Tamandua tetradactyla: one gene and its partners. The protein of the gene in region 1 purifies or fractionates together with the protein of each later gene. This does not show direct contact. Links are inferred from orthologs where the notes say so. Each region holds a gene or a part of one and is shown on either strand. Other genes may lie near its edges. The genes, in order: SNRPA1, PRPF19, PHF5A and RBM17.

Region 1 (8,335 bases):
ACCCAAAACATTTCCCCCCATTCATCTTACCAGTTCCACAAGACTGTTGTTGGTGAGAATGAGCTCCGTCAGACAAGGCAGAGCCTGGTCAAGTCCCTCACCTATGCGGCTAAAAGAAAAAGACTCTTAAAATTTAGTTAGCTAAGAATTTTATCTAAGTTCTTGCTCAGAGGATTTCAGACTTCACAGTTAAAAGGAAACTTAGATTCTTTTTCCAAAACCCCATCTGACAGTAGGGAAATGAGGCACAAAGAGAAAACTTCGTAAAAGGTCTTGGATTAGTACCAGAACTGGGAGGATTTTAGTACATAAGCCTTGTGAAGGCTGCCTAGAGCTCCTTCCACTGGCACAATACCTAGTGAGAGTGCATTTCATGATTTCTCTGTGCAGACAGCAAAGAAATACATGATTCTGCATTCATAATTCAGGTATAAGACGTTCAAAACTATACCACAGGGAATGATAAATTTATGAGAAATATGTCTCAACAAGGAGACCTTCTTAAAGACATTATCTGTATACCTGGTATAAATTTTCTTCTATAAAATTTACACAAAGCTGACGTAGGGTCACAAAGAGATTTCAATTTCAGTAAGTAATATTCTAGAAATCCATTGTAATTAAAGAAACATAAATAGCAGAGAATGTGAGGTAAGAAAGAGTTGTCTGAGCAAAAATATAATTGCTGAAATTATATATTCCTTTAATGTGATCCTTTTCATTTTTATAATTATTGTTTTAGAAGCCCAAATGTGTACCATGAAGCATGTTTTAAATTTAAATTAAAATGTTACCATGAATATATAAATTTTCTACATTTCTAAAACAGATGCATATAAGATTAGACCAATGCCAAGTTAATCTTCTGGATCTCTATGAGAGGAGTGCAGGTCATTTCTCACATTAAGAAGAAATAAACAGATTTAACCAGTAGTATGCATTACAATCTCTTCAGGGATCACTGCAACATTTACTCTTGGGAAAAATTACTACTTAGTAGAAAGTACCAGATTCTGTTGTTGTTCACTAGTAATGTTTTCAGTCTTCTCAACAGAGGAAAACCATCCAGTTTTCTGATTTCATTGTCAGAAAAATCAATAGCATCAAACTGGTCTAAGGTAGCACCAAGATTTTCAATTACAGGAATTTTATACCCTGTAACATTAAAAATAAACAAGAAATATCAAGCAAAGGAATTAGAACTGTATCATAATTAAAAGTTACCTTAAAAAATTAACAATATTTCACAGTAATTTGACTGAAGGCTTTCATTCATTCAAAACTATTTACCTAACGCCTACAACATGCCAAATAGTGTGCTAGGTAGTGGAGATAAAATGTCAAACAGTCAAAGTCCCTGTGGCTATGAAACTTATAATCTAGTAGTGAACATGGAGATGCTGCTGCAGCTGATGATGAGGATTACTTATTATTACTAATATTTGTAGCAAACATCTGTAAGAATATTTATAAGGTACCCTGTACTATTGTAAGCAGTACACATGATTTGTTTCATTTAGCCTCAAGTTTTTTCATCCCCTGTAACAATAAAATGATGCAAGGTGTTAATAATAGGGTAGTATATGGGAATCTGGTATTTTATGCCTGATTGTTCTATAAATCCACAATAAAACAATTTCAAAATGTAATTTAAAAATAAAATGAAACCGAAGCTCTGATTTAATCAAGGCTCCAGAGCAAGTTATGCTTTTAGCTGACTATTAGTACCCAAGCCTTGTTTATACTATGTGAAAAACAGCCCTCAACCTCTTTTGCATTCCAACAGGCTAGATTCAGCAGGATATCCTACTGATGTGTTTGTTTCTGCTTTCTTCATTTCCCCCAGTTCCAATGCAGAATTGAGGGTCAACAGCTTACACACATTACTACAGCATACTATGAACCATTCACTCGAATGCTCACGATTGGTCTAATATGGGCAAAATTATCATGCTAGATGTTAGAAGAAGAAAGAAACCCAGTCAGGAATAAAGTACACAATTTGGAACTGTAAGAACTACATCAAAGTAGGTACTACACCAAAATAAATGTTTTCAATACTGGGTGCACCTCAGAATTTAGAAAGGTACCACGAATCTGAAGACAGTAAGTTACCCTTGAACTGAACCTTTCCCTAAGAAAGGTGATTTCAACAAAATAAAAGCACTGGGACTTCCCAATCAGCAAAGAAACTAATAAAAAAGCAGAGCCTGAAGAAGTGCTGTTCCTGAGACCGGTCTCCATGTGGAAAAACCTTAGACCGGGAATGGATAAACTTCACCCCAGAAAAGATCACATCTTTTCGTTACATCCTTTCTAAAGCAGTCATGCCTTCCTCGGCTGAGATATCTACATGAACCTCCAAAGTTTGGAGAACACCCTGTGGTGGTGGCTGGAAACATACCCCGCAGCAAGCTTGGTGAAACAGCAGAATGAATTTTTTAAAACGTTTTGATGAAAAGGAAACTGAAGGAACCTAAAGCCAGTAAGAAGGAAATACCGCGGAAAATAAGCAATCGCTTTTGTTCCCGGAATTGGCTTCCCTCGTCATAAATTATGGGTAATCACCATATGCCCCACCTACTCCCACAGTATCATTTCAAAGTATTTAGCGAGACCCAACCATCCGCCGTGCACTTGAGTCACAATCATTACTAAGTATATAATTCTCGGCCCGAAAAAGAGCTCGGATTGCGAAACGCCCCAAACAAGGTCTAATAGAGGTCCACGGGCATGGACAAGGAAGCAATTAATTCGGCCACGTGTGTGCGAGTAGGATAGGGACTGCAGAAGTCTCAGTGGTGCCTAACGGAAGGCTCCTTTGGCGGCAAAGGCAAGAATCGCCTCTAGGTGCCGGCTCACAGAACTCGATGTACCAGGAACTGCGCTCGGCGGCGGGCGGAGGCCCCGACCGCCTGGGCGCCCAGAATCCAGGCCGGAGGCGGGGCGCCAACACGTGGCCAGTGAGGTCCAGGGACGGCCGCCCGCTGCCCCGAACTCACCCCGTAGGTCTAACTCGCGGTCCCGCACAGCATTGGTATACTGCGCCGCCTGCTCGATCAGCTCCGCCGTCAGCTTCACCATCCTGCAACACTCCCGCTTCCTGGCGCTTCCTAGCGCCAAGGCCCACTGCTTCTCGCCGGCTACACTTCCCAGTGTGCCCCGCGCCCTCCTCCAGACAGCACCAATCGCAGCCGGCGGGTGCGCGCGCATCTCGACGCCAGGCAGAAGCAATCGAAGGACCACGCCCCCGGCTCGTTTTCTAAGTTCCTGCCTGGCGCTGCTTGAGGACTCCTTGGGTTCTGCGTATCTTGTCTGGTGGGCCTCTGAGACCAGAGAGCTGTCTCCGAAAGTTAAGCAAAGTGTGAAAGCACCTCTGTGGAGCTTTCATATACATCAGTGGAAAATGAGAGGGGAAGCTATGACCATCCATACTCCACCCAGGAGGGCGGGGACCTCTGAGGTTCAATGTAGGGAGGGGCTGCAACTTCACATTTCCGTCCTAGTCCTGGGCTTTGGCTGTTGGGCTACAGTGTGGGAGCCAGGGCATGGTTACCCCCTTGTGGCCAGACTGCTGGGACAGCCCCACTGCCTGACTTCCCACCGGGCACCAGCACTGTTGGATTTGCGGTGTCCAAAGACACTGGCGTGGTTTGTAGTTAACAGCATTTTACTCGGAACACCAGAAGTTTGGGTGCAGCAAGGAAGCCTGAGCACGGGTAAAAACAGAGGCAGCTTCCAGCTTCTAAGAATGGCAAATGATTTTTACAGCCATAAAAAGGAGGTTAGGTTGACTCCTATTGATTGGACAGGGGTTTGTTCCGCTTCGAGGGGTGGGTTTAGGGCAGGTGGGATTTTATTTTGTATTGCGGCAAATGCAGTAAACCAGTTGATTGGCTTGCTTGTTTACCTGGGTCAGCCACCATGGTGGGGATTTCACATTTCAAAAGACAGCAAAAGGAAACTCAAGAGTTTGCTCAGAAAAGTAGGGCGCAGGATTTTAGCGGTGGCTAGGCCTGTGGTCTCTAGACATTTAAAACTATATATGTAAGTATGATATACAGAAAAGTGCACAAATCATAAAACTGCGGCATGATGAATGACCACAGAGAAAACACTACTACCTAAGTGCTACCCAGGTTCAGAAAAAGAACATTTTCCTGAGAACTCCTTGCCCAACCCAAAGAAAACAGTGAACCGTAACAATGGGTTAGTTTCACTTACTTAATTTTATTTTATTTTTGTTTTTTGTGTAACATAACATATATACAAAGCAAAGAAAGAAAAAAGCAATAGTTTTCAAAGCACTCTTTAACAAGTAGTTATAGGATGGGTCCCAGAGTTTGTCATTAGCTACCATACCATCATTTCAGATTTTTCCTAACTCCTCCAGAACATTGGAGGCCAGAAGGAAAAAAATATTTTTTTATCATCACAATAGACTTTTTTTTTGTGAAAAATAACATATACAAAAGCAAATTTCAAAGCACAGTGCAACAATTAGTTGTAGAACAGGTTTCACAGTTTGGTATGGGTAACAGTTCCACAATTTTAGGTATTTATTTCTAGCTGCTCTAAGATACTGGAGACTAAAAGAAATATCAGTATAATGACTCAGCAATCATACTCATTTGTTAAACCCTACCTTCTCTGTATAACTCCACCATCACCTTTGATCCTACTTCCACTTATTAGGGGTATTTGAGCTATGCCCATTCTAACTTTTTCATGTTGGAAGGGGCTATTAATAATATGTAGGGACACGGAACTAGCTGATGTTTTGGAGAGGCTGGCTGCTCTGGGTTTCAGGACTTATCTGGTCCAGGGGTCCATCTGGAGGTTGTAGGTTTCTGGAAAGTTACCCTAGTGCATGGAACCTTTGTAGAATCTTATATATTGCCCTGGGTGTTCCTTATGATTGGCTGGAGTGGTTTTGGTTGGTGTTTGGCAAGTTATGATAGGTAGCAATGTTTAACTGCACACTTTCTTTCTTAAAAAATTTTTAATTGAGAAATCTTCACATGCATACTTTCTATACATGGTGCACACAATCAGTGGCTCACAATATCATCACATAGTTGTGTATTCATCACCATGATCATTTTTTAGAACATTTGCATCACTTCAGAAAAAGAAATGAATAAAGAAAGAACTCATACACACCATACAACTTTACCCCTCCCTCTCATTGACCACTAGTGTTTCCACCTACCCAATTTATTTTACCCTTTGTCCCCCTTATTATTTATTTATTCATATGTTTTACTCATTTGTCCAAACCCTGGATATAAGGAGTATCAGACACAAGATTCTCACAATCACACAGTCACATTGTAAATGTAATATCTTTATACAATTGTCTTCAAGAATCTAGGCTACTGGGACACAGCTCAACAGTTTCAGGTACTTTTCTTTAGCCACTCCAATACACCATAAACTAAAAAGGATTATCTATATAATGCATAAGAATAACCTCCTGGATAACCTCTCTACTCTGAAATTTCTCAGCCACTGAAACTTTGTCTCATTTCTCTCTTCCCTCTTTCGGTCAAGAAGGCTTTCTCATCTCTTGATGCCAGGTCCTGGCTTATCCTAGGCTTTCTGTCCTACGTTGCCAGGGAGATTTACACCCCTGGGAGACATGTTCCACGTAGGAGGGAAGGCAGTGAGTTCACATGTTGAGTTGGCTTAGAGAGAGAGGCCACATCTGAGCAATGAAAGAGGTTCTCTGGGGGTGACTCTCAGGCCTAATTTTAAGTAGGGTTAGCTATCCTTTGAAGAAATAAGTTTCATAGGGGCAAACCCCAAGATTGAGGGCTCAGCCTATTAATTTGGTTGTCCCCACTGCTTGTAAGAGTATTAGAAATTCTCCAAATAGGGAAGTTGAATATTTTGTCCTTTCTCCCCATTCCCTCAAGGGGATTTTGCAAATACTTCTTTATTTACTGCCTAAATCTCTCTGGGATTTATCAGGGCATCACACTAACCTAGACAAACGAACAAAATCTCACTCCCTATTCAAGATTCCAGGTATTTATGGTGTTCAAATAAACTGACCATAAAAGTATGAGCACTTGATATAAATGGAATTATGCAGTCTGCTTTTATGCTCAGTTTCTTTGGTTCAGTATTATGTTTGAAATTCATGCAGGTTGTATCTAGTAATGCTTTTTCTGCTGCTGTATAGAATTTCATGATATGTCTTACACTATAACATCCATTTTACTGTTGATGGACAAACTGGGTTGTTTCCAGGCTGGGGCTAGTGTGAATAATGCTATGAGTTTTCTTGTACATGAATCTGGTGCACATGCACATGAGTTTCTCCAGGAGTGGAATTGCTAGAACAAAGGGTATTGTATCATCGCCAGGCAATGCCTAACAGGTATGCCAAGATTGGAATAATTTCATTCTAGCTGTGTGTAAGTGTTTCCAGAACTTCCAACCTCAGCCTCACTTGACATTGTCAGTCTTTATAATTTGAGCAATCCTACTGGGTATATAGTAGTTTTGAATTATTGCTTTGATTTTGCTTTTCTCTAATAACTAATGACGCTGAGGCCTTTCTCATGTGTATACTGTCCATTTTGATATCTTCTTTTGTGAAGTGCACATTCAGGTCTCCTGCCAACTCTTCCTATTCGGTTGTCTACCCTTTTATTATTGATTTATGGGAATTCTTTATTCACATAGACTGGATATGAGTACACTCTGTGGTTTATCTTTTTTACTCTTATTGGTGTTTGATAATTAGAATAATTTTTTTAGAAGTTTGCAATTTTTATGTAGTTTCCAATTGATCTTTTTCATTATAGTTAGTGGGTTGTAAGTATCTGTGTGTGAGTGTGTATGTGTCTTGTTTAAGAAATCTGTCCTAATCTCCAACATATTTTCCTATGTTATCTACAAGGGGCTATTGTTTTACTTTCCACAATTAGCTCTTTTTGAACTTTTAATTGAAGTATGACTATATATATTATATATATAGTACAGAAGAGTACAAACCAAGCACACCCAAGCAACTAGCACCAGATTTTGTCCTCTTCCAGTCACTACCCTTGGCCTAATGGTAACCATTATCCTGCCTCTCTTTGCATAGATTGCCTACTTTTGTATTTAAACAAATGAAATTGTACAAATTAAATTGTACCTCATGCATATTTTGCTTAACATTATACTTGTGTGTAGACGTAGTTCATTTTTTCTCATTTCAAAAATGGAGTGTTTCATTGTATGAATTTTCCACAATTTATTTGGACATTTGTGTAATTTCAAATTTGGAGCTAGAATACATTATGCTTCTATAAACATTATAGTGTATATATTTAAGTGAACATATATACTCATATATCCCTAGTAATGGAATTGCTTGGTCATAGGATTTACTTATGTTCAGCTTAAGTAGGTAATGCTAGTTTTCAAAAATGGTAATGCCCATTTGCACTCTAGCTAACATTTGGTATTGTCTGTCTTCTTAATTTTAACCATTTCAGTGGGGTAGGTAGTGGTGCTGCACTGGGGTCTTAATTGTATTTCCCTGATTACTAATGCAGTTGATAATTTTTTTTTTTTACATATGTATTGGCCATTTCCTTATGTTCTTTTGTAAAGTGTCTGTTTAGTTCTTTTGTCCACTCTTCTATTGGATCTGGTTTGAAACTGTTATGTAATCCATCCATTTCTGGTATATAGCATTCTGGCAGCTTTAACAAATTGAAACAGATTTTGGTACCAGAGAAGTGGGGTGCTGCAGTTTTTGCAATATCAAACATGTTGGGTAAGGGGAAGATTCTGGAAGAATTGTGAGGAGGTGAATAGGAAAGGCCTGGATGGCTTTGAAGAGTCTGTTGGTAGGAATTTGGATGCTAAAGTGTCTTCCAATAAGGCCTTAGATAGAAATGATGACCATGTCATTGCCCACTGGAAGAAAGGTGACCCTTGTTTCACAGGGGCAGAGAATTTGGCAAAATTGAGTCCTGGTATTGGCTGGGAGGTAGAATTTGAAGGCAATAAGCTTGGATATCTAGCTGAGGAAATTTCCAAACTAAATGTAGAAAATACAGCCTGGCTTCTTCTTGTAGCTTATTGTAAAATGTGACAGGAAAGAGATAAGTTTAGAACTGAACTCTTTTGGAGAAAGCAACTGAAAACGTAGTTTGGAAAATTCTGAGCTTTTGGAAAATGAGATCCCAGAAAATACTGCCCTACGTGAGGATTTAACCAAACATGGAACCAGTCAGTCATTTCAGAAAAATCCAGGATTGGGGATGGTGTTATTCATATAGGATTTGTGGAAAGTCCTATTGTCTGATGGGTTTTACTCCTGTATGCTGCA
Region 2 (7,544 bases), on another chromosome or scaffold:
TTCCTTAGGTTACTCGTGAAATAAGGGGAGTGATTACAAGAGCAGATTTAACTCACAAGGTTTTGTGAGCAGTACTGCAAAAGAAAAAAAAGGCTTTGAACTAAACCTGGCACAGAGTAAGCACAATATAAATGTTCACGTTATTATTATCATGAAATCTAGCTAGATTGTCCAAACTGCCATGATGGTAGCTCTCCTGTGGACCAATAAAATAACTTCCTAACTTGTTTCCTTACTTCCAGCCTGTCACAGAACAGCTGCCTACTGTCAATGAAAAATCTATTCGCAGTACACTCCGGGCCTTTCATTCATTCAACAACATTGACTGGACACCTGCTAAAAATGCCAGGTTCTGTTCTGATAACCAGAGATACAAATGGTGAACAAGAAAGACAAGTTTCTTGTTCTCATGGAACTTATATTCCATTGGAGGGCACACAGACAGACGAAAATCCCAAAGAATGGTTAAGTGCTATGAATAAAACAAAACAAGGTTAAGATGCACAGGAGGTGCGGAAATTGGAGGGAGGGCTCCTCTAGACAGGATATTTGGGGAGGGGGGCATCACTGAGGAGGTGCTAAAGCCTGGATGAGGGAAAGGAGTCAATCCTGAGACCACCAATAAGGGAGAGGAAACTTCCCCCAGGCCCTGCACCTGGATACTCTCACCTCATCTTTTCTCCAGACTTTGACTTTCTCAATCTGACCCACTCTGGCCCCTCCCCCCCATACCCTCTGTGCTGGTTTGAAAGTGTTGTTTATACCCCAGAAAATCCACGTCCTTTAATCCTGATTCAATACGGTAGAGTGGAAACATTGAATGGATTGTTCCATGGAAATGCGACACACCCAACTGTGAGTGCGGCCTTTTGATGAGATGGAGATGTGACTCTGCTTATTCAAGGTGGATCATGATTAGTTTACTGGAGTCCTTTAAAAGGGGAAACATTTTGGAGTTGATTCAGCGCTGACACAGACATTTGGCGGTGCAGAAAGAAAATTTCCCTGGGGAAGCTGTTTTGAAATCAGAAGTAAAGGGCCAGCAGACACCAGCCCCCATGTCTTTCCAGCTGATAGAGGTGTTTGGACACCATCAGCCTTTCTTGAGTCAAGGTATCTTTCTCTGGATATCTTAGTTTGGACATTTCTATGGCTTTAGAACTGTAAACTTGTAATTTAATTCCCTTTGTAAGAGCCAACCCATTTCTGGTACATTGCATTCCAGCAGCATTCAACAAACGAATACACCCTCCAATGTAATTTCATCTCACTTTAAATGTCACTTCGTGGGGAAGGCTTTTCTTGATTTCTATCTGAAGTTAGACCCCATAGCACCCTGTGATTCTCCTTGAAGCCCCACTGGATAGCTACAATCACTTAATTTTTTATAACTATCTGTTTGATGTCTGATTTCTCTGCTAGACTGTAAACTCTGTGATGACAGGAATCACAGTTGTCCTGGTCACTGTTGTTCCAAGATTCTAACACAGTGTCTGACAAACAGTAGGAACTTCATAAATTTTGTTGAATAACAGGCTGCCTGACACGTCAGGCACCTCAAATACTTGGATGTGGCAGGATATAGACTGGGTGGATTTAGTCGGGGCCTTGTACAGTAAGTGGTTAGACTTGACTGGGTTGGGAGCAGAACAGCATTTGATTGCATTTGAGCTACGGAGTGACCTAAAGATAACCACATTTCTAGAAGTTTCCTCTGGAAGACGCTTACTGGAAGGTTGGAGCGGGGCAGACTGGAGGGAGACCATCAGCCATTCACTTACTAGACTGTACCCACTATGTACCAGACAGGCACTGCACTAGGAGCAAAATCAGAAATGACCCTCCATTGGGGGGGGCTTATGGTTGTGACTTCAGAACATAGCGAAAAGGGAGTCCCTTAAAGGATTTTGCATTTCAAAAGTCAGCCTCTAAAGGACTAGAGAGGATCGAGATATTAAACAGTTGATTTTGGAGTAAATAGAACTTGTAAGAGTTTGACCTCCACCCACTCTCCTTAATCTGCCCCACCTCAACATCCCCATAAAGGAAACTGTTCTAGTTTGCCAGCTGCTGGAATGCAATATACCAGAAATGGAATGGCTTTCAAAAAGGGGGATTTAATAAGTTGCTAGTTTACAGTTCTAAGGCCGAGAAAATGTCCCAATTAAAACAAGTCTGTAGAAATGTCCATCCAGGGAAAGATACTTTGGTTCAAGAAAGCCGATGAAGTTCAGGGTTTCTCTCTCAAGTGAGAAGGCACATGGCGAACAGGATTTCTCTCTCATCTGGAAAGGCATGTGGGGAACACGGCGTCATCTGCTAGCTTTCTCTCCTGGCTTCCCTTCATGAAGCTCCCCAGGAGGCGTTTCCCTTCTTCATTTCCAAAGGTCGCTGGCTGGTGGACTCTGCTTCTCGTGGCTACGTCATTCTGCTCTGCTCTCTGAATTGCTCTCATTCTCCAAAATGTTTCCTCTTTTATTCCTATAAAAGAACTAATCAAGACCCACCCAAATGGATGGAGATACGCCTCCAGCTAATCCAGTTTAACACCACTCTTGATTAAATCTCATCTCCAGGGAGATGATATAATTACAGTTTCAAACATACAATGCTGAATAGGGATTAGAAGAAACAGCTGCCTTTACAAAATAGGATTAGGATTAAAACATGGCTTTTCTAGGGTACATACATCCTTTCAAACCAGCAGAGACACAAGTTCCCTAGGCTGGAAATAGAGGGGAAGAGATAGCTGCACAGCTGTTGGTGAGTCTCTGAAAAAGGAGCCCTTTCCCTTGCTCCCTCAGGCCAAAGCTGCTGTTGCTTGAGAAACATAGAGGCATGTCTGCCAATAACCCAGAGGCAGCCCAAGCTCCATTTCCCAGGTAGATTCAGTGGCAACCTGCCTGGATAAATGACAGAAGATTTGGGAGTCTCAGGAGTTGCCAATTCAAACAACTGAGATTGAAGTTTAGATAAGCTTTCCCTTCTCCCGGCTGGCCATACGTTAACTTTCCCAAGACTGCGTACAACCTGAAAGTCAGGAGTCAGAAGAACCCAGAACCCTGTCTGAGATTGTTTCTACCACTCCAAGGGAAAAGAAGAGATTTGAAAAGAGATAACATCATAGGAAAAAAATAAGAATGCTTGCACAGGGACGTCTGCGATCTGAGATCCATAGCCCTACAAATCAGAAACAATCTCACCAGCAAACGTAAAACAGCGACTGTTACAAAACTTAAAGGTGAGGTCTACGATGCCACCGGAGCCTGCTCCAGAAGATTCTTAGCTGAAACAGTAAATGATGAGGGCCCAAATGCAGATAGGTGAGTCTGAGAAAGAAACAACTAGATTAGAGGACAGACTGGGAGCCACTCCTGCATGTAACCTGGAAAGAAGGCAGAATGGGGAGGCAGGTTCAGGGGAGGGGCAAAAAGGGCTCCGATTTTTAGGACGTTCTTGAGGACCTGGTTTTAACAGCAGAAAGGAGCCATCCCTACGGTTGTCAGTAACGGCGATGAAGCCTTTGGGAAGCAATGTGGATGTCTTCAAAGTAATATTCGCTCTCTTCACTTCCTTGAATCAATCTTCAAACCGACAGTGAGGCGGTATCTTGGGAACCTTACAGCACTGAAAGCTGCTTCAGAGTAAAGCTGAAGGATCTGAGGCTCAGAGAAATCAAGCGACGCGTCCAGGATCACCGAGCAGGTCGCCGCACCCCAAATCCTTCCCGTTTACACCGCTGAAGGAGTCTGAGCGCTGGTTTTCCTACTGCTCTAAAATTCTGAGCGAACACCCGGCAGGGTTCAGGTGTGGACGTGCCCTGTGATGGGGCAGATGCCTTTCCCCACTGTCGCTGCGCCTCCAATTCTCACACCATGACCCCTTTTGAGCGCAAAGTTTCTCCCGAGACCCGAGGCTCTCGGCGCCTGTGTTAAGAACTACATTTCCCACAATGCCCGAGGCGGCATTATGTAGCCCAAGAACTACATTTCCCCAAATTCCGAGGGGGTTGAAGCGGCAAATTGGCTTCGACCTCGATTCCAAAGATCCAGTTTACCTACTGAACAGCCCAGATATAGTCACCTTTTTCCCCCTTTCCTGTCAGAGACTTCCGTTCCCAGCTTGAACTTCCGATCCCATTCTTCTCTCCGTACTAAAACTTGGGGGAAAAAAAAAAAAAAGTAATCGAGACGGTAGAGCGCATGCGCTCATGGCACTAAGCTCCTGAGGCGGCGAAGGCCGACCCGGCTCGGCTTCAGGAGCTGGCGCATGCGCAGACGGTAAACGAACGCCCAGGCGTTGAGGCGCGGGTTTGGTGGCGCGTTTTAGCCAAGTCGCACGTGAAGAGCAACGGTTGCCGAAGTTCCGTAAGTATGAGCCGAGACCGGGGCCGGAGGAGAGACATACAGGGCCGGGAAGCGGCAGCCGCTGTGGGGAGGACGAGACCGGAACCTCAAGGCCTGGCGAGCCGGAGTGGGGAGGGGTCCGACGTCGTGCGGCGGGGGAAACAAACTAGGGACCCGGATCCTCGTTGCTATGCAACCGGGGGCGTCGTTACTAGGTAACCCGGGAAGCGTACGTTTCCGGGGAGCAGAGGGAATCCCAGCGCTGCTGGAAGTCCTGCGGAGACAGGGCGGTTGCCAGAGTAAGGGACGAGGCTAGGGTCGGGACCCTCGCCACCGATCCCCACCTCGCGCTGCCCACCCCCACCCCCGCGGTCTCTGTCCGAGCCCCTCGGGGTCGGTACCCCGAGGCCATGAGCCGCCCTGCGTCCCCTGCCAGCGAGCGACGCCACCCCACTGGGCTTGGCAGGGGACCCGCTGTTCGAAATAGCACATGCCACTGACACCCTGCCTCGGATGGCTGGGTCCTGGGGAGGGTGCGGCGCGGCTGGGAAGCTGCCCCCTTGCCCGTCGCCCTGCCCCCAAACAGTTGCTGGGGAGCAGCTGTCAGGGGCTTAGCCCGGGCTGTGCCCGACCTGTCAGGATGCTGAGTTCATCCTCCTCAGCGGCGGCTTTGCCCCTTCTTTGCCTTTCAGCGCAGCTGTGCTTCTCGGGTGGCCGCCTCATGTTTGGATCGGTGGTTGAAAGAACCCTCTTACTACCCACCGTTCTCCCTTTCTGTCCTCACGGGGTTCCTGGCATGCCTCTAATACTCATTCTACAAAGCACGTATCGGTTCTCCTTCTGCAGTAGGCGTGGGGGACTCCTCTCCTTCTGTGCTAGGCGCGGGAGATTCCAAAATGTTAGATGTCAAGTCTGACCGGGAGGAGCTGAAAGTATAATGGGAGGCTAATGTCACGAGTGGTATATTGGCCAATTGGGGGGTGGAGGGCAGTGTGCCATAGCACTTCTTTAGATGTTTACAGAGTTCATGCAGAAACGTCTTAACTCCTTGCAACAATTCTTAACCCCGTCTAACTCCATTTTACATTTGAGGAGAAGTAAGAGGCTGGCATAAGGGTAGTGGCTTTCAGATTGTCACAGAACTTAACCTGGAACAGAAGTCTAGGATTCTTTGTAGCTTTATTTTTTTTTCCTGCAGTGCTGATCATTTCTGCCAGCTGTCTGGTTATGCACCAGAAGTCCCTGGGTGTATGTGTGTGTGTTTGTGTGGCCGGGGGTGGGGTGGGGGGGCTTTAAAAACAAAAGGTTGAAAGCTTTCCCTTCTCTGGGAAAGTCTGATTAAGTAGGACCCGGGTTAGGCAGCCATCCTTTAAACAGTCTCTACAGGCAATTCTCAAAGGCCATCAGAGTTGAGAATCGTTGCTCCATAGAGGCAGCTATGAGCAGTGGATGGGAAATCAGAGCCAGCAGAGGACACTAGTGCAGCTTCCCCTCCAGCCACACAGTGATTCATAGCCTGAAAGGAAACTAACCCAAAGAAAGGGGAGGAAGGAGCTTCAGCAGGGGACAAGGGCGTGTAGCCTGCCCCACCCTGCCCTCTTAGCAACCACAGCTAAACATATAGTGCCTACTCACTATCAGAATAAGTAGTTTCCCCTTCCCACCTGGCTTCTCCTGGCCCTGTCCAAGCCATATTGCAGCTGCCCGAGCAGAAGTGACAGGTCTTGTCGCCATTTTTTGCTATCCTCTCATATTTCTTGGTATGAAAGCATGAGTTGTGAGTTGTAAACCCAGCATCTCCTGGTAGGTGGTCTCCTCTTGGGGGTCTGGATGTCCTCCCACACTTTTTTTAATGTAGATTTTTCTTTAATAACATTAAAAATAATCTGATTATAATACGAAGACATTGTAATTTTTGACAAAGTTAAAAAGAAAGAAAAGCACAGAAAATAAACCAAAAATTACCCACAATCCTACTGTCCAAAGAAAAAAACACTGTTAATTGATGTATTTGCTTCCGATCTTTTTTCTGCCTATATATACTTTCTCTAAATATTTTTAATGCAAGTTTTATTGATATATATTATACATCGACATGCCATATAATCATATGAAGTGTACAATCAGTGGTTCACAGTGTTGTCATATAGCTGCGCATTCATCATCACTGTTGATTTCTGAACATTTCCTTACTCTAAAAATAAATAAGAATAAAATGAAAAATAAAAGTAAAAAAGGGCACCCAAAACATCCCATACCACCCCTCCACCCCTATTATTTGCTTATTTTTTTGTGTTTATTTTGTTACTCATCTCCCCATACGGTGGGTGAAAAGAGTGTCAGTCACGATCAGAGAGTCAAACCTTAAAATCTGTATAGGGTGCATGGGTGGTTCAGTGGTAGAATGCTTCCCTACCATGCAGGACACTGGAATTCGATTCCCTGCCAATGCACACACACACACACACACACACACATAAAGCTATATCATTATACAATCATCATCAAGAATCAAGGCTACTGGATTACCAGTCGACAGTATCAGCTGTTCCCCTCTAACTACTCCAATATGCTGAAAGCTGAAAAGGGATATCCATATGCTGCATAAGAATAACCTCCACAGTGACCTCCCTTCCCTATTTGTAATCTCTCAGCCACTGAAACTTTATTTTGTCTCATTTCTCTTCCCCCTTTTGGTCAAGAAGCCTTTCTCAATGCCACGATGCCAGGGCCAGGCTCATCCCCGGGTGTCTTGCCCCACGTTGCCGGGGAGATTTACACCCCTGGGAGTCATGTCTCATGTACATGTCCTCCCACTTTGACCTTGTTGATATTGGACAGAACTTAAGTCTCCTTGAGAGCAGGGGCCATGTCTTAAGAGGCTTGTCTGGGGCCTTAGCCATCATTACTTTCACGAAGGTAAAAGTAACGTATGAGACAAGCAGAAGGGCAGGATTTAGATCTGGGTTCTGAGTCAAATCCCAGATCTTCCAGGTGGTCTTGGACAAGTCCCTTGACTTCTCTAAGCCACATTTTTCTGAGTAAAATGGGGAGACTTTTACTTGCAACACTTTTCAGAGTATTGTTAGAATCAAATGAAATGGCAATGTAAAAAGCACTTAGTAGATAACAAAGGACCACACAAACACACTAATACTTAGTTTTGTTGTGGTTGCTTGACTCTTGCCTTCTCTTTGA
Region 3 (8,047 bases), on another chromosome or scaffold:
TCACCTCCCATCTTCTTCACTCTTGTTTCTAATCTTGCTTCCTGGTAGCAGTTTCTGCAAACAACAGTATATTTTAATTTAGGGAGCATTGTTCTCAGATTATGAAGCATCAACAGACTGTCTTGAGGCCAAAGAGAAGCAGCATAATGCGGTCTCTAGAACTTCAGGCTTTGGAATCACAAGGTACAGATTCAAATCACATGTTAACAAGTAGTGATAAGACCCTAGGCAAATTTATCTTATTGTACTTAAGAATTATATAACAATTACTAGTTGCCAGGCAGGGTTCTAAATGCTTTACAATAATATGATTATTGAAGATTAAATAAGATAGATGTACTGTTATCATCTGTATCTTAAAGGCAAGGAAACAAGAACAGAGAGGTAAAATGACTTGCTCAAAGTCAAAGCTAGTATTAGAGCCAGGATTCCAATCTAGGCAGTCTGATGCCAGAGTCTATACTCTTAATCCTTACACAAGGTTCCTCTCCAATCCACAATTTCTTCATCTGTGAAATTTATAACTAATTAAGTCTGCCTTATTTCACTGTCATGTGTGATTTCTGGTACACAGTAAACCACTATTACTAGTTACTCTTAGCAGCTACTAAATCGGTTCACTACTCTTAGTGGTTGTAGTAATAGTCGTAATTCTATACTCTACTTTCACCTTTGGTCCAGCCAAGACTAAAAGAAAAATATTCTGGCTGAGAAACCTTTCCAAGGCCCTCCTAGTAGGATACATTATAATATAATGGAAGCTCCATGAGAATAGGATTGTCTGCTTTACTTACCATTGTATCCATGCAAACAGAGCTCAGTAAATATGTGAAGAATCAAGTGGGAATGAATTGAATACAAGGACAAGATTCTGCCAAGACATGATGACTACTAAGGTGGTTACTATTATTTCTCAAATGTGGCTAAACATGAAAGAGGTAAATTCACAAGGTTCTCAGAGGACGGTGTGAGCTGGCCATTACTTGAGACAGCCTGACTACTGGGAGACAGTGTGGTATAATGCAAAGTAAATAATATTGCTCACTCATTTTAGTTTAATGAACAAACAAAGGGACCTGTATTTTAATCCTGACTCTGCTACAGACTAGCTGGACCATTACTGGAAATTAACCAGGGCTCCAAAAGCATCTGTAAAGAGGAAGTTGGACTATATGCTTATCATACATACATTCTATTTGATGGGACTCACCAAAGGACTTTATCATGAAAGTAAAAAGACATCCTACACAACGGGAGAAAATATTTGGAGACCACATATCTGATAAAAGTTTACTATCCAAAATATATAAATAAATCCTTCAACTTAAAGACAAAAACCCAGTTAAATTTTTAAAATGGGAAAAGGACTTGAATAGATACCCCTATAAAGAAGATATACAAATGGCCAAAGGCACATGCAAAGATACTCAATATCATTAGGCATCAGAGAAATGCAAATCAAAACCACAATGAGATACCATTTCACCCTCACTAGAATGGCTACTATTGGAAAAAAAACATAATTGGGGTGGGCCACTGTGGCTCAGCAGGTAGAGTTCTCGCCTGCGATGCCAAAGACCCAGGTTCGATTCCCGGTGCCTGCCCATGCAAAAAAACAAAAACAAAAACAAAACCAAACAAACAGATAATTACAAGTGTTGAAGAGGATGTGGAGAAACAGGAACACTCATTCATTATTAGTGGGATTGTAACAATGATTCCACCACTGTGGAAGACAGTTGGAGCTTCCTCAAAAAGTTAAGTATGGAATTATCATATAGCCCAGCAATCCCACTTCTCTGTATATATCCCAAATAACTGAAGATACTTGAACAGATATTTGCACACTGATGTTCACAGTAACATTATTTACAAAACATGGGAGCAACCCAAGTGTCCATCAGCCAATGAATGGATAAACAGCATGTACATATATATGTATATACATACATACAATGAAATATTATTCAGCCATGAAAAGAAACGAAGTTCTGATACATGCTACAATATGGATAGCAAACCTTGAAGAAATCATGTTGAGTGAAATAACTCAGACACAAAAGGACAATATTGCATGATCTCACTGAAATGATTAGAATAAGCAAACTCAAGAGTCAGAATCTAGAATACAGGTTACCAAAGGGCTGAGTAGGGAGAAGGAATAGAGAGTTAAGATTTTAAATGTACAGAGTTCCTATTTGGAATGATGGAAATGTTTTGGTAATGGATGGTGATGATGGTAGCATAATACTGTGACTGTAATTAAAGCACTAAGGTATGTATTTGAATGTGGTTAAAAAGGGAAATGTCACGTATTTACAGTTAGAGAATAAATTTTTTTTTAAATCCATGCAGCTGCACAAAAAAAAAAAAGACACGACTACATGTTGATGATAAATACTTTCTATTTGCTCGTTACTTTATAACAGTCATCACAACAACTTGCAAGAAAGATGATTACCAGGCACTCAATAATGTTCAATGAAGATCAATACCAATTGAAGATGAGGTAACTGGGCTTCATGAAATAACTTGCTCAAGGTCACAGAACCCCGTAGAACATGAACTAGAGTCTGGATCTCTTTTACAGTAAACTAACACTTGCAAGATTCTCTTCAGTTCTAAAATGTTGTAATATTATTCCTCTTTCCCAAGCCTAATTCATCTGTAATCATTTATCTTACCAAGTAATCTTGCCTGACTCTTCTATATCATGGGACAGCGGGATCAACCTAAAGAATCAAAAACACCTTAAGAGATAAAGATACAAATCCCTTGCATTTGCCCAGAATCGAGACTAAAAGTATTTTATAATAAATGATTATTTCATTTTAAGCCACAAGGTTTAAATTTAAGCAATGTGGTAAAAAATAATTTCCAGTCACACAATGGTTCCCAAGAGTACAACACATAACTTCTCTTTTTAAATTTTATAATCAAAACTCTGCCACCTGATTTAAAGTAGATCCACAAAGTTAAATTTAAAGGTTGGCAGAGAGCGTCTAACAAATGCTTACTTTCTTTACTGTATTAACAAAACACACACCTGACACTGAATCTCTGAGTATAACATCCTTCTAAGAGTTGTAAGTTAGGAATTTTAAAACATCTGGCAGTCGCAGCCAGTCAACTTTCTTGGTGGCTCATAACGGGAGAGTCAAGGTCAAACAGTTGAGCCTCCTTACCCTCCCATCTAGTATCTGAAAAGCAACCACCTGTGAGTTCAAAATATTCCATTCTGGTGTTCTCATAAATACAAATGTTAACTCCAGAAACACACCCTGGCTCAAAGTTTTGTTGATGACAAAGTTACATGGAACAAGAAGACACTCTTAAACGCAGGAACTTTCACCTACTCTCAAGCAGTTTCACCGCTTATCAAATGAGAATAATCACCTTGTACTTATCGCACTAGATAATTATATGAACCAAATGATGAAGAATTAAAACAGTTGTGCAAACGCGAGAGGCTACGATTATTATTACTATCTTCTAGGTCGGGGTCCGGAAGACCCCCTTGCACTCTTGGCTATATCTTCCGCAGGGTCTGGGATAGGGTACCAATTTCTTCTGACGATTCCAGACCTGGCAACCGTAGATGCACCTGGCAAGTCTGGTGCTGAGATGGAGAGTCCTCAGGAACTGGACCTAGCGGGCTCAATAACGACCGTGCCCCCCAGTCACCTTGCCGTCACCTTGAGGAGCAGAAAGAATTTCTACGAGAGCCGAGAGAGCGGTCCTAAAAAGGAAGAAAGAGGAGCCTCTATTCTTCCACAGGCTGCCGCTGCTTGAACCTACGCTTCCCGCAGGGCTGGGCCAGGGCCAGAGAAACTGACTGAGCCGGGGACGCCTTGACCTCGGGCGTTAGAGAAGCGGGTACGGGTGCTGAGCTCGCAGCCGGAACTGGTACCAGAAAAGTCGACCCGAGGTAGACCCCGCCTCGCTTTGCCTCGCCTACAGCCGCAGGCACAATGGGAAGCACCCTGCCCCCATGAACCTTGGGGTTCTGGGCTCGCTCACCTGAAGCCGGGTCACCAGAAGGCTGTAGGGCGCCATTTTGTGCACTGACAAAGATGAGGTCGCGTGAAAGTGACGTACTACATAGCGTCATTTAAAGCCTTTGGGCAGGGGGCGTGACCTAAGAAGAGACACGTCGACGGTGGGGGCGGGGCCTTCCTAGAGGTGTCAGAGCTGGGGAACACAGTAGTGGGTGGAGAGCACATGTAAGGAACGGACACGTGAGAGGGAAAAAAGCTGCAGAAATAAATACCCGCTACAAATATATTTTATTGAAAAACAAGTTTCCGTTGTATCTGCCATCCAAATCTGGGAAAACTATATATTTTTTTAGGACTTTCAAGCACCTGCCAGGACCTGGTTCCCCAGCAGTGACAGATGCTCGACTAGGAATTTAAGAGCTTTGATCGCGCGAGAGCGAGCTTTGGTGCAAAGACAGTAAAATGGTGAAAGCTTAGCCGACCAATCACGGCGACCCAGAGGCAGGAACAATGGGGGTTAAAGGTCGGACGGAAGTTTCCGAAACTTCCGGTGGCCGGTTAGAGTGGGCGCTATGGCTAAGCATCATCCTGATTTGATCTTTTGTCGTAAACAGGCTGGTGTTGGTGAGACTGCGCCCCGTCCCCGGCTTGTCAGTGAAGGGGTCGTATTATGAGCTGGAAGGTTGGGGGGGTTCTCATTACTTCTCTAGAGTGTCGCCTCGGACGTGCCACGCTTCCCGCCTCGGGGTTTCAGGGTATTGTAGGAGCGCGCGGATACGTGCTTCTGAGAAAAAGAGGGCGGGAGGCGGGGAGCCTTGAGGCGGGGTTGGGTTCTGGGGCTGGGTACCAAGAAATATTGCTGAGAATTGCCAAGGACCTGGGACGGGCTTCAGGAGGGAGGTCGTGACTGTGGGTTTGGCTCAGATCGGAGTTCATCGTGAATAATAAGATGGCCATTCCTTAGAATTTACTGTAGTCTCTGTTCCTGACCCCGCCTCCGGCTCAAGTGTGTTTTTCTCTTTAGCCAAAACACTAATTCTAATTGTACTCTTACCTTCTTCGATCTTGCAGCCATCGGAAGACTGTGTGAAAAATGTGAGTTGAACTCCCTCCCAGCACCCCACCCCTCCCACTCAGTTTCTGTGGAGCCAGTAAACGGACATTTCCACCAGTGCCATATAAATGGGCTTTGAATAGGGGTGGCTGGAAGCATGTAACAATGCCAGGCTGCAACTAAGGGATCCCTCTACTTCCCCACTCCGACTTGTACATTTTAAATGCTATATTCGGGTTTTGAGAAAGTCTCCAGCTTTGGACATGAATTGCTAGAATAGCATGACCCCATCCCCAATACAGTTTTAAGGACTTGGGAGAGGAGGAACTTGCAAGTGAGTATGACTCTATTCTCTTTTCCTTGCAGGTGATGGCAAGTGTGTGATCTGTGATTCTTACGTGCGTCCCTGCACCCTAGTGCGCATATGTGATGAGTGTAACTACGGCTCTTACCAGGGGCGCTGCGTGATCTGTGGGGGTCCCGGGGTCTCTGACGCCTATTATTGTAAGGAGTGCACCATTCAGGAGAAGGATGTGAGTGTATACAAAGCTTTCTATTTGACCTTTCCTTTTATTTAGTAACACTGCCATCCACAGCAAACTCCTATGGTCTGTGGAGATTACCATGTTTGGCTAGTCACCTAGGTTATAATTTCAAGTTCTTTGAGCCAAGTTGGGTGTGGACCAATAAAAGGCAGTTATTTTGCATCAAAGGCAAAAATGCAAGAGAAGCAAATCTTTGTCAACACCAGCAATTTGGCAAGACTTCTCTCTATTCCTTTAATGTCACTCTATGATTATTCTTATTCAGAAACAGCATCCTGCATTTGTAAGTCTTAGCTCAGTGCATAATGTGTAATAGCCACTCAGTAATTCTCTTGACTCTACTATCATTAGGGATTGCTTGGGTGGATGTGGTGACAAAGTGGAATTTGAGACCGTTTAAGTTGATTTCAGCTTTCTACAGCCGAAGAATGCCTTTGGTTTAATATCGTAGAATTGACTGTGGTTCCACCTCATGATATTTTTATTCCCTGACATTGTGTAATGGCAGACAATGGCTAGTTATCATTGAACTCCCTAAGCCAAATGCCAGGAAAGAGGACTTGCAGATCTGCACCAAAGACAAGTTTTAACATTTTTCTTTAGATTTGTACTGGCAGCAGGGCTCTTGGAGGGGAAAAACAACCACCGTGAATCAGCTTGTTTTCTTCCTACAACACAATAAAAGGAAATGTGATGAGGGTACCCCATTACCTAGTATAGCATAAGGCAAAAGATACTGAGTTCTTCATATTTCCATGAGCAAGGAGTAGATACTTTATACAATTTCCCTTCTCCTGACAATAACTGTAAAATAGGTAGTGGTATCCTCATTTTACAGTGCACCGTCCAGCTAATAAGTGACAGACCCAGGCTGTCAGACTATACTTTGTGGTGTCACCATTATACCATGTTGTCCTTTTGAAATAGCTTTTGGTAAGATGTTAATTGAACTACCTCAGTAGTCTTATTTATTCATTTGGATCCTGTCTATCCCCAGTAGGAAGGACATATCAGGCCAAATTAGACTATTTCTTGCACAATTACATCTCCAAAATTTAGAGAGATGCGAAAGGTCATAAAAAAACATAATTTCAGTTGGTTACTTGAACATTCTCCTGGACTCTGATTTACGTTTCTCCTTTGACTGTGAAACCATATCCTGCATTTTATAAATGTGGATCTGAAAAAATTAAATTAAAAACAAAACAAAATAAATGTGGTTCTGGTTTTGCAGCTAGATTAAACTCCTTTAGCACAAGGCCCTAGGACTATGTATTTGTCTCCTCCGTTTCCCCAGTTCTTGGTTTAGTGCTTAGCTGGTAGTACAAGCATGAGGGACATTTTTGGTGCCGTCCCTGTAAACCATATGAATATCCCTTGACAGGGTGTCTGATACATAGGTGTTTGGTAATTATTTACAGCATATAAGCAGTGTAACCATGGTAAGGTAACAGCAGGGAAAAGAAAGGATGAGCAACTCTTAAGCTAGCTAAAGTCCATTAAGAACAACATTTTCTTGAACTTTTGCATGATTGTGACTGAAGTTCTTATCTGGCATAAGCTTTGCAACCAGAGAGTGCTTAATAAATGTTAATTGCCATCTGACTCGTATGCATGTGTATGTGACCTGATACTTTGGGATCCTTATGCCTCATTTTGTCCCTGAGAGAATGGTCTTAGACGTCACTTCCCCTACCTCACATTGTACAGGAATGTTCTGAGGATATTTGAGATGGCATCTAGCTCATATTTAATCAGCACTAGTTTCCAAGGAACACAAAGCAGTCCAGTGACATGATCCAGGCTCTCAACCTTACAGATTGTCATGTAGATTAAGTGCCCAAGACTTTTTCCTATGCAGAAATCTTCCCAGAACCAAAGCACTCCCCATTATTGTTCTCTTCCTGCAACTTTCATAATTTATAAGGGAATTAGACCAGAAAGCTAATCTGGGTTCTCCCACTTACAGTTTTTCAAAGCCACAACAATAATCAGGAGTTGAGGATAATATCTATGAAAATTGCTAGTTTCTTATAGGGCAGCACCACATTAATCCTCTTTAGCCCTTGATTCCTTTACTCCTTTCACTTACCATTTTCTTCAATTCTCCTCCCATACAAAAAAGAAGAAAAATGGCTAAAATTTGTGGAGCTCTTGATATGTGTGAGGGTCAATGCTGAACGTTCTCCAAAAGTCTTAAGTGATACAGGTCAGGAAACTAAGGCCTAGAGATGTTAAGCAAAGTGGCCCAGGATCACATGGCTAGGAAATGGCAGATACAGTACTAGAACCCAGGTCTGTCTAACTCAGTGTTTTTCAGTCTTTTTTTGTTATTGACCCCTAAGGAGAAAAATTAAACTTTAAATTACCTTAATTAAATTTCTCCCTAACAAGAGAAATTAAATACTAAAGAATAAGATTTTATTGGGTGAGGGTGAAGCTTTAGATCA
Region 4 (7,740 bases), on another chromosome or scaffold:
CTTTAGGGACTATCACCCCCACACAAAACTACCGATCCCCCATTGTTCCATACTTGGATCACAGCAACTCCTACCTGATACACTGCCTACAGGTTTATGTATTCGTCTTACATTATAAGCCCTGTAAATGAAAGGGCTGTTTTTGTCTTCATCTTTGTATCTCCAGTTTAGCATCATGGTCAGAACATTGTGGGCACTTAATAAATATTTTCTAAATGTATCACAGAATAGATAGAAAATGCTAATGCATTTGTTCTAGTTTGCTAGCTGCCGGAATGCAACACACCAGAGACGGATTGGCGTTTAATAAAAAGGGATTTATTTCCTTAGTTCTTCAGAGGAAAGGTAGCTAACTTTCAAATGAGGCTCTTTCTTACATGGGAAGGCTCAGGGTGATCTCTGCTGGCCTTCTCTCCAGGCCTCTGGGTTCCAACAACTTTCCCCGGGGTGATTTCTTTCTGTATCTCCAAAGGCCTGGGCTGAGTACTGAGATAAGATATGCTGAGCTTGGGCTGTGCTACGTTGTGCTCTCTCATTTAAGCACCAGTCAGTTAAATCAAACATTATTCATTGTAGCAGGCACACCTCCTAGCCGACTGCAGATGTAATGAGCAACAAATGAGGTTCACATACCATTGGCTCATGTCCACAGCAACAGAACTAAGCACCTTCACCTGGCCAAGTTGACAACTGAACCTAACTACCACAGCATCTATTTAAATCACATTATTAACATCCATAAGATCTGCAGATCTGTATTTAAAGACATATCTTACAGGAAATGAAATTTAATATGTTTGATGACTTTTAAACTGTATTAACATAATTAAAGTGAGAAAAACTACTACTACTGTACAACCCACAACAAAGGTCTGAGTTCTGAACACCTAAAGAAGGTTTGGCAAGAAACCTTTTTATCACTACATAGATATTTATGTATCATAAAACCAAAGCCTCCTCTTTGAAGCCTGAAGAATACAGCAAGCATACACAGAAAGGAACAAGAAGGAAACCATGAGGGGTGATGCACTTTGTTGTCCACAAAAAATACAGCTATAAAAGGTTTATGCCTCATGTATAACATTAATTATTATTATTATTTATTATTTTTTCTTGCATGGGCAGGCACCAGGAATCAAACCTAGGTCTCCGGCATGGCAGGCGAGAATTCTGCCACTGAACCACCGTCACACTGCCCCATTTATGATAACTTTTTAAAGGAGTTTAAAAGAAATTTCCTGTACCTCCCACTCTCACATGTTCATTCTGTTTAATATTTCCATTCATTTTCATAGACTTATTGACCAAAATGACACAGACTGGAGTACACTGCAGACAAAGCCCACTAGAGTCACCTGGAATTAAAGTGTATAATTGAGTATCTTCTATCACTTACTATTATGAAAGGTTTGAGGGATTACTAACCCTGGATCATCTGTTTCCCTGCAAGGGGAGGTCTGAAGAATTCACTTGCAGGGAAGAATAAGAAGATAAACTAAAACAGGGTAAAGAATCACCTTAATAAGTTACGTTTTGGGGGGACATTTAACAATTCTCTGAAAATTCTTATTTCCCATAAAGGCTATCTTTAGTTGCCACAGAACTTCACAATCAGAATCGCTCTTCACTATTAACTTCTATTCCATCTTACGTTTTTGTTAATATCACAACCTACTCTTCTCTGCAGTACCTAATCACCGCTTAATAAATTCTAATCATAAAACTCTTGGTTTGCATTACTAACTTATTACTCCATATTCCCTAAAAATCCTTATTATACTCAAAATGTGTGGCCTTTTTGTAGCAAAAATGTAGAAACTGACCGGCAGTGTTTAAAAACTTTACCTGTGGCAGGGACACAGGTTCTCATGGTCTATTTGAGTGTATGTAGAATCTTATCCTATCTTCAATATTCTATTTTCCAACTTCATACCTGGCTTATCTGACAAGTACCTTTGATGGTCCTCCCTTACTTCTCAAAGACCCCCTCATGGTCTGACATGACTAACCTTCCAAATAATTTCTCCTCAAACTTTTTTCTCTGCCTTACCCGCAGTTACCCAAGTATTATGGTGCTTCGCCTTTCTGGTACTTTTGCACTTGTTTCCTTTGCAGGAAACCTTTTCCTCTCCTTGTGGGTTAAAAAAATATCATTTACCCTTCAAGAATCAGCATAAGTATCAGCTCCACTTCGAAAGTCTTTCCAGATCCCACTCTAGTCTCTCAGATCAACCCAGGTAGGGTTTTCATGCCTAGTTTCTCTAGAGACCACATTTCATGAAAGTAGCGACATATTCGTAGATCACAGTTGATAACATACTGTCTGGGTAAGAGTAAATGCTCGAAAAATGTTTGATGATTGAACAACAGAGCTAAAACCAGGACCTGACAATTTACAAGTCCACTGTAAAATGACAAGGACCAAGGTAACGGGGAAGTCATGGTTTTCTTCACTTGCCCAGGTAGGTTCCAATTTTTTGACATCTGGAATTCCCAGTTTCGAAGTTCTGGGAGGAAATGGGTTTTATCCTCTCCACTTCCTGAGTCCTGGAGGGACACAAGAGTGCTGGGCACAGGTGACATATTGCCCTGGAAACAGGGTCAAGGGACCGACAAACTTTTTCACACATGATCAACGAAGAGAAGGAACGTTCTTTAGCCCCCGAAAGACTGAAACTGGCAGATAAAAGAGAACAGGAAGGAGAGAGTAAGAGTACGAAAGACTGGGACTGGAGGATGAGAAAAAAAAGTGGCAAACGCACGAAAAGGTGCTGCGCTTGGAGGCGGAGAGAAGAGAATATGGAGGAGGAGGAGAACCGGGCCAGAGGCTCCCGACAGCAGCTCTGGGAACGAAGCCAGGGGCAAGGCGCGAATGGGCTCAGCGCAGGGAACCCGGGGCCTGAGAGCTGGAGGACGAGATCGCCCTCAGCTTGGGGCTGGCGATGTCGGACCCTCCCGCCCCCTGCGCGGCGCGGCCTAATCTACGGCCTCGCGTCCGGCGCGGTCCTGGCTGGCGCTCCCGCCCCAGCTTCGCAGCCAGGCCGGCGGGGTGGCGACGAGGGGGCTACTTACCCGGCTCGCCCAGACGACCTTCCCCATGGGCCGGAGTGGCGGCACCACGGAGCCGGGGCCGAGACGCGCAAGCTCCGTACCGAGCCCGGAAGCGCGGCGGCCAGAAGAGGAGACGCACCCTGCGTAAGCCCGCCGACGACACCGGGCCACGGAGTCAGCGCCAACTCCTACGCCAAATCCGGAGGGGCTCCGCGGCGCGGGGATGAAGGAGCGTGCGCCGCCAGTAGAGAGGGGACGCCTGTGCCACGGCGCCGCGTCTGCAGCGGCACCTCTCGGTGGGAGGTCGGTACTGCTCTCCCTCCTCCGCCAGCGTCTCTTTCTTTCACCAAAAGGTGTCGCAGTGGCGCAAGTTATTGAAATCTAAATAGTAGAAGAAAGTGGCAGTGACCCCAGATGGGCAGAAGAAGAAATGGTCCAGGACAACCGCGATCTTCTCGATAGCTAACTGTTTTCTAACAGGGTAAAGGAGAGAATCTCTTCTGGTTCTCCATTCTAATGCAAAGAACTAAAAATAAATCACCATAGACGAGATGAATGGAAATATTCACAGCAAAATAAATGGCAGTGAGCATTGAATTGATTTGCCTATAAGCCTCAGGATTGGGATTGCAGAAATGAAAGTAAATGTTATAGTCCCTCACAATTTTAAAACTACATGACTACAGAAGTTGGAAGGGAAAAAGAAAGTGGGGTTTGGTGTAAATATGCTTATTTTCAGACTTATAATTGGGGGTCAAAATATTTCAAGCTAAATCAAATAATAGATTTAAGCATATGTTTTAGTACAAAGAAACATTAAAAAAAGATAAGATATAATCATATAAAACCCGGTGACTAAGAAAAGGGAGGGCAAGGCGAAAAAGAAAGAAGTAAGGTAGGGAGTCAATAGAGATTCTAAATAGAGGATTAAGAACATCTTGTCATTGATATAATGATAAACCAGAATAAAAACACAAACCTTTTAAATTATCAAGCAACACACAACAAAACAAACAAAATCAAGTGTGAGATATTTGAAAAAGTTACAAAACAGAAAGTATAAGATGATGACAGAACTATAACCAAATATCTCATGTTAGTAAACATGAATGTGTTAAGCTCACCTATCAAAAAATGCAACTTCAAACTGGAGCACAAGACATAGCTCAATTCTGTATTGTATCTGAGAAGGAATACTAAAATAAGGGGATTCTGAAAGTTTGAAAATAGAAGAATGGAAAAGATATACCAGAAATAAAGAATTCAGGGATCACAAACCTAGTCTTACACAAGCTTGATTTCAGGATGGGGAACATAAGGAGGTTAATAAATATAAGGGGGTACAATTCACAGTAAAGGAAAAAGAATCTGTGCATCAAAGAACATAATTGCATTATTCATAGCAAACACTAAAGGAGATGTAAAGAGAATTAATAGATGGAAACCACTGGTACAGTCCATGACTGATTAAGGGCACAAAAGTAAATAAGGGTAGAGAAGACCTAAAAATGTAGCTAATATGATAAATCTAACATATCAAACTCTGTACCCTGAAACAGAGATTACTGCTTCTTTTTAAGCATCCATGGAATATCCACAAAATTTGACCATATTTTAGGCCACAAACAAAACTTGATATATTCCAATGAGTAGAACCATATCGATATTATCTGATCACAGTCCAGTAAAACTAGACATTAGTAACAGAAAAAAATCCTACTCCTTGGAAATTTAAAAATGCTTATATAATATTTGGGTCAAAAGGAAGACAAAATCAAAACAGTGTAATATATATAGAAGAATACAGAAATGAAAATGACATACTAGAACTCATGGGATTTAACTACAACAATACTAAGAGGAAAATTTATGGTTTTAGATGTTTGCACTAATTTAAAAAATTAGAATGAACTGGGTGAATGAAGCACCCATGGAAGAATTTAGAAATAGAACAACAAAATCATTTTTTTTAAGCAGAAGGAAGTAATTAATGAGGATGAGAGCAAAAATAATGGTATATAAACCAGAAAAACATGAAATTAAGCAATAAATACAACTGATTCTTTGGAAATGAATAGATGAGCTGATAATTAAACAAGAAAAAAGGGAGTAAGCACAAGTATACAAAATATTGGATGATAAGGGGAATTCACCACAAATACAGAGAAAAGTAACTTATCTTAAAAGATGACTTTGTTCAGTTTTATCAAACAAATCTGAAAGTCTGGATGAAATAGATAACTTTTAGGAGAATATAATTTCCCCAAAATGGATGCTACAAGAGTTAGAAAATTTAAGCAGACCAATCATCACTGGAGATTTAGAGAATGGCAAAGAACTACCTTCCAAAAAGGTACCAGGTCCAGATATATCCACAGGGCAATTTTACCAGACGCCTAGGGACAACAAATTCTGTTGTGCTATTTGTTACTGAGCAAACTAAGGAGGAAAACTTCCAAATGCCTTGTTTAAAGCCAACAGATACAGCCCAAAGAAAATTTTATTCTTTTGTCATTTGTGATTTTCAATGCAAAAATCCTAAATAAAATATTAGCACAAAGAAGTACATTGGGACAGAAGTTCTCAGTCCTAGGCTGAGGCCAGTCTCAGGGTTGCTGGGGATCTGCCCTCTTTTAGAGCAGAGAAAAGCCTCGGGAGTAAAGTAAGACAAAGTGCTCAGGGCTACAGTGAGTGCTCAGTCACAATTTTGGAGGGATCCTTCCTGGGTTCAGAGGATTTATTTCTAGGGTTGACTTGGAGACTAAGGCTTATGGAGGTCAACTCCATTTCAGAGGTGACCTAAAGTTGGGGAGGCTTTTCTGGAATGAAATCCAGATTATTGGTTCAAATTTAGTCAGGCTTAAGTTCAGAGTTATAAATAGGTCTGATTCTTGGGTTCAGGCTCACCTGTGAAACCCAAAATTTTCTTAAAGGGCTGTTCTGATTGTCGGAGCCTGCTCATGCAGGTGGTCAACCTCAGCAGCTCTCAGTCTTGGTGGAAGGGAAAGATGGCATGGAAAGAAAGGATTAGACAGATTAAGGAAATAGCCAGAAGTAACACAACTAGGGAGAGAGAGAGAGTTGGGTTGTGGGTTCATGGGAAAGCCAGTGGGCAAGGAGATGTGGAAAAGGCTGGGAAAGGGTGGTACCAAAGTCTCAGTAGAAGAAACTTTGTTTTAGAAATGCAGGCAATGGCTCGAACTAGTAGGAGATTAAAATCTCGCTTAGTATGAGTGAAGGTAGGTCCTTAGCTGTCTCTCTACCCAGTCTGCAGCAGGAGATGGACAACCCACTGTGCTGTGGACAGCACTCCTTCCTGGGGGCCAGAGATTTGTTGAACAGAAGAAATAGATGGAGGTCTTATTTACCGTGGGTTCACACCCATGGGTGTGTGGATTAAGATTAAGAACCTATGTTTGTTTGGGTCCATAATTCCATCTACCACAAACACCATGGAAATCCCTGTACATGCTCTTAAAAGGAAAGTATAATAATCTTTTTTTTTTTTTTGTCAGTGTTTTTTTTTTTGTCTTGGGCATTGGTTACCTCACACATGAACTGGACCTGGAGGAAAAGAAAAGAGGTTCCTGGCAGACTGGGGAGGAGGCCCTGGTATTTATTTAGATAACTCTCTTAACAGTTCTGTGAGATTGTATTATTCCCATTTGACAAGTGATGCTTACTTAGGTGAAATGACATTCCCAGGGGCATTTAGCAAGTGGTAGAGTCATGATGAGAACACGGTATCTATCTCACCCCAAAGTCTCTGACTCAACTGACACTTAAGAGAAAAAGTGAGCCTTGGGCTAAACTTTTAAGGACACTTAAAATTTGGTTCATGAGAAAGAAGAGAAGTCATTCTTTTTTTTTCTAATTTTATTTTAGTTTATTTGAAAGTTTGAAAGTCATACTTTATGATTGAAATTTCCCTTCTCATTATAATTTCATTTTGTTAAAGCACTTACTTTTTTGGTTTGGGTTCAGGTTTAATCTTTTTCCTGCAGCAGTTTCTATTTTGGTAGGAGTCCCTTGGTATTAGAACAATTATCACTACAAAACAAATGACTTCAAACTTTGCGTCTGAAAACCATAAACACTTACTAACTCTGGGGAATTCAAATAGAATAAAAAGGTATCCAAAGAAAAGTAAAATTCTCTCTTCTACCTCTGAATTCCACCATCCACCTACCCAGAGATCATTATACTTTATAGTTTCATAGCATGTGTGTGTGTGTGTGTGTGTGTGTGTGTGTATGAGAGTTTTAGCTTTTTGCTTTGAAATCATTTCAGGCATAGAAAACAATAATAATAACACAAAAACTCATAAGCCCTTCATCCAGACTTCCAAATATTAGCATTTTACTGTACCATCTTCTTTCTCTATTTTTTTTCTGAACAATTTGAAAGTAAATTGCAAATGTAATGCCCTTTTACCACTAAATACTTCAGTGTGTTTCCTAAAAAAACAAGTACATTTTCTCATATGACCAAAGTACAGTTATAAAAATCAGGAAACAAACATTCATGTAATGTGATTATCTAATCTATAGACTTTATTCAAATTTCACAGATTGTCCTGGTAATGTCCTTTTTTTTTCTTTTTTTTTTTGGCATGGACAGGCATGGAGAATCGAACCCAGGTCTCCAGCATGCCAGGCGAGAACTCTGCCACTGCACCACCATCGCCCG

Evidence for each region.
Region 2: the proteins of SNRPA1 (region 1) and PRPF19 fractionate together in Homo sapiens (co-fractionation; 3 studies listed by BioGRID). This does not show direct contact. The link is inferred for Tamandua tetradactyla from reciprocal best matches to the Homo sapiens genes SNRPA1 and PRPF19.
Region 3: the proteins of SNRPA1 (region 1) and PHF5A purify together in Homo sapiens (affinity purification with mass spectrometry; 4 studies listed by BioGRID and IntAct, with this or other methods). This does not show direct contact. The link is inferred for Tamandua tetradactyla from reciprocal best matches to the Homo sapiens genes SNRPA1 and PHF5A.
Region 4: the proteins of SNRPA1 (region 1) and RBM17 purify together in Homo sapiens (affinity purification with mass spectrometry; 5 studies listed by BioGRID and IntAct, with this or other methods). This does not show direct contact. The link is inferred for Tamandua tetradactyla from reciprocal best matches to the Homo sapiens genes SNRPA1 and RBM17.

What each region holds. Positions count from the first base shown.
Region 1 is NC_135338.1:83,233,679-83,242,013, reverse strand, and holds the start of SNRPA1 (U2 small nuclear ribonucleoprotein A'), read right to left. Parts: upstream 3,183-8,335; 5' UTR 3,085-3,182; coding exon 3,003-3,084; intron 1,156-3,002; coding exon 1,008-1,155; intron 110-1,007; coding exon 31-109; intron 1-30. UniProt on the Homo sapiens protein: Involved in pre-mRNA splicing as component of the spliceosome. Associated with sn-RNP U2, where it contributes to the binding of stem loop IV of U2 snRNA.
Region 2 is NC_135335.1:14,204,502-14,212,045, reverse strand, and holds the start of PRPF19 (pre-mRNA-processing factor 19), read right to left. Parts: upstream 3,425-7,544; 5' UTR 1-3,424. Other genes in the region: voltage-gated monoatomic cation channel TMEM109, read left to right, coding at 4,537-4,561. UniProt on the Homo sapiens protein: Ubiquitin-protein ligase which is a core component of several complexes mainly involved pre-mRNA splicing and DNA repair. Required for pre-mRNA splicing as component of the spliceosome.
Region 3 is NC_135333.1:34,624,771-34,632,817, reverse strand, and holds the start of PHF5A (PHD finger-like domain-containing protein 5A), read left to right. Parts: upstream 1-4,517; 5' UTR 4,518-4,570; coding exon of another isoform or gene 4,571-4,622; 5' UTR 4,623-4,668; coding exon 4,669-4,753; intron 4,754-5,069; coding exon 5,070-5,093; intron 5,094-5,418; coding exon 5,419-5,585; intron 5,586-8,047. Other genes in the region: ACO2 (aconitate hydratase, mitochondrial), read right to left, coding at 4,021-4,056.
Region 4 is NC_135333.1:57,822,094-57,829,833, forward strand, and holds the start of RBM17 (splicing factor 45), read right to left. Parts: upstream 3,298-7,740; 5' UTR 3,073-3,297; intron 1-3,072. UniProt on the Homo sapiens protein: Splice factor that binds to the single-stranded 3'AG at the exon/intron border and promotes its utilization in the second catalytic step. Involved in the regulation of alternative splicing and the utilization of cryptic splice sites.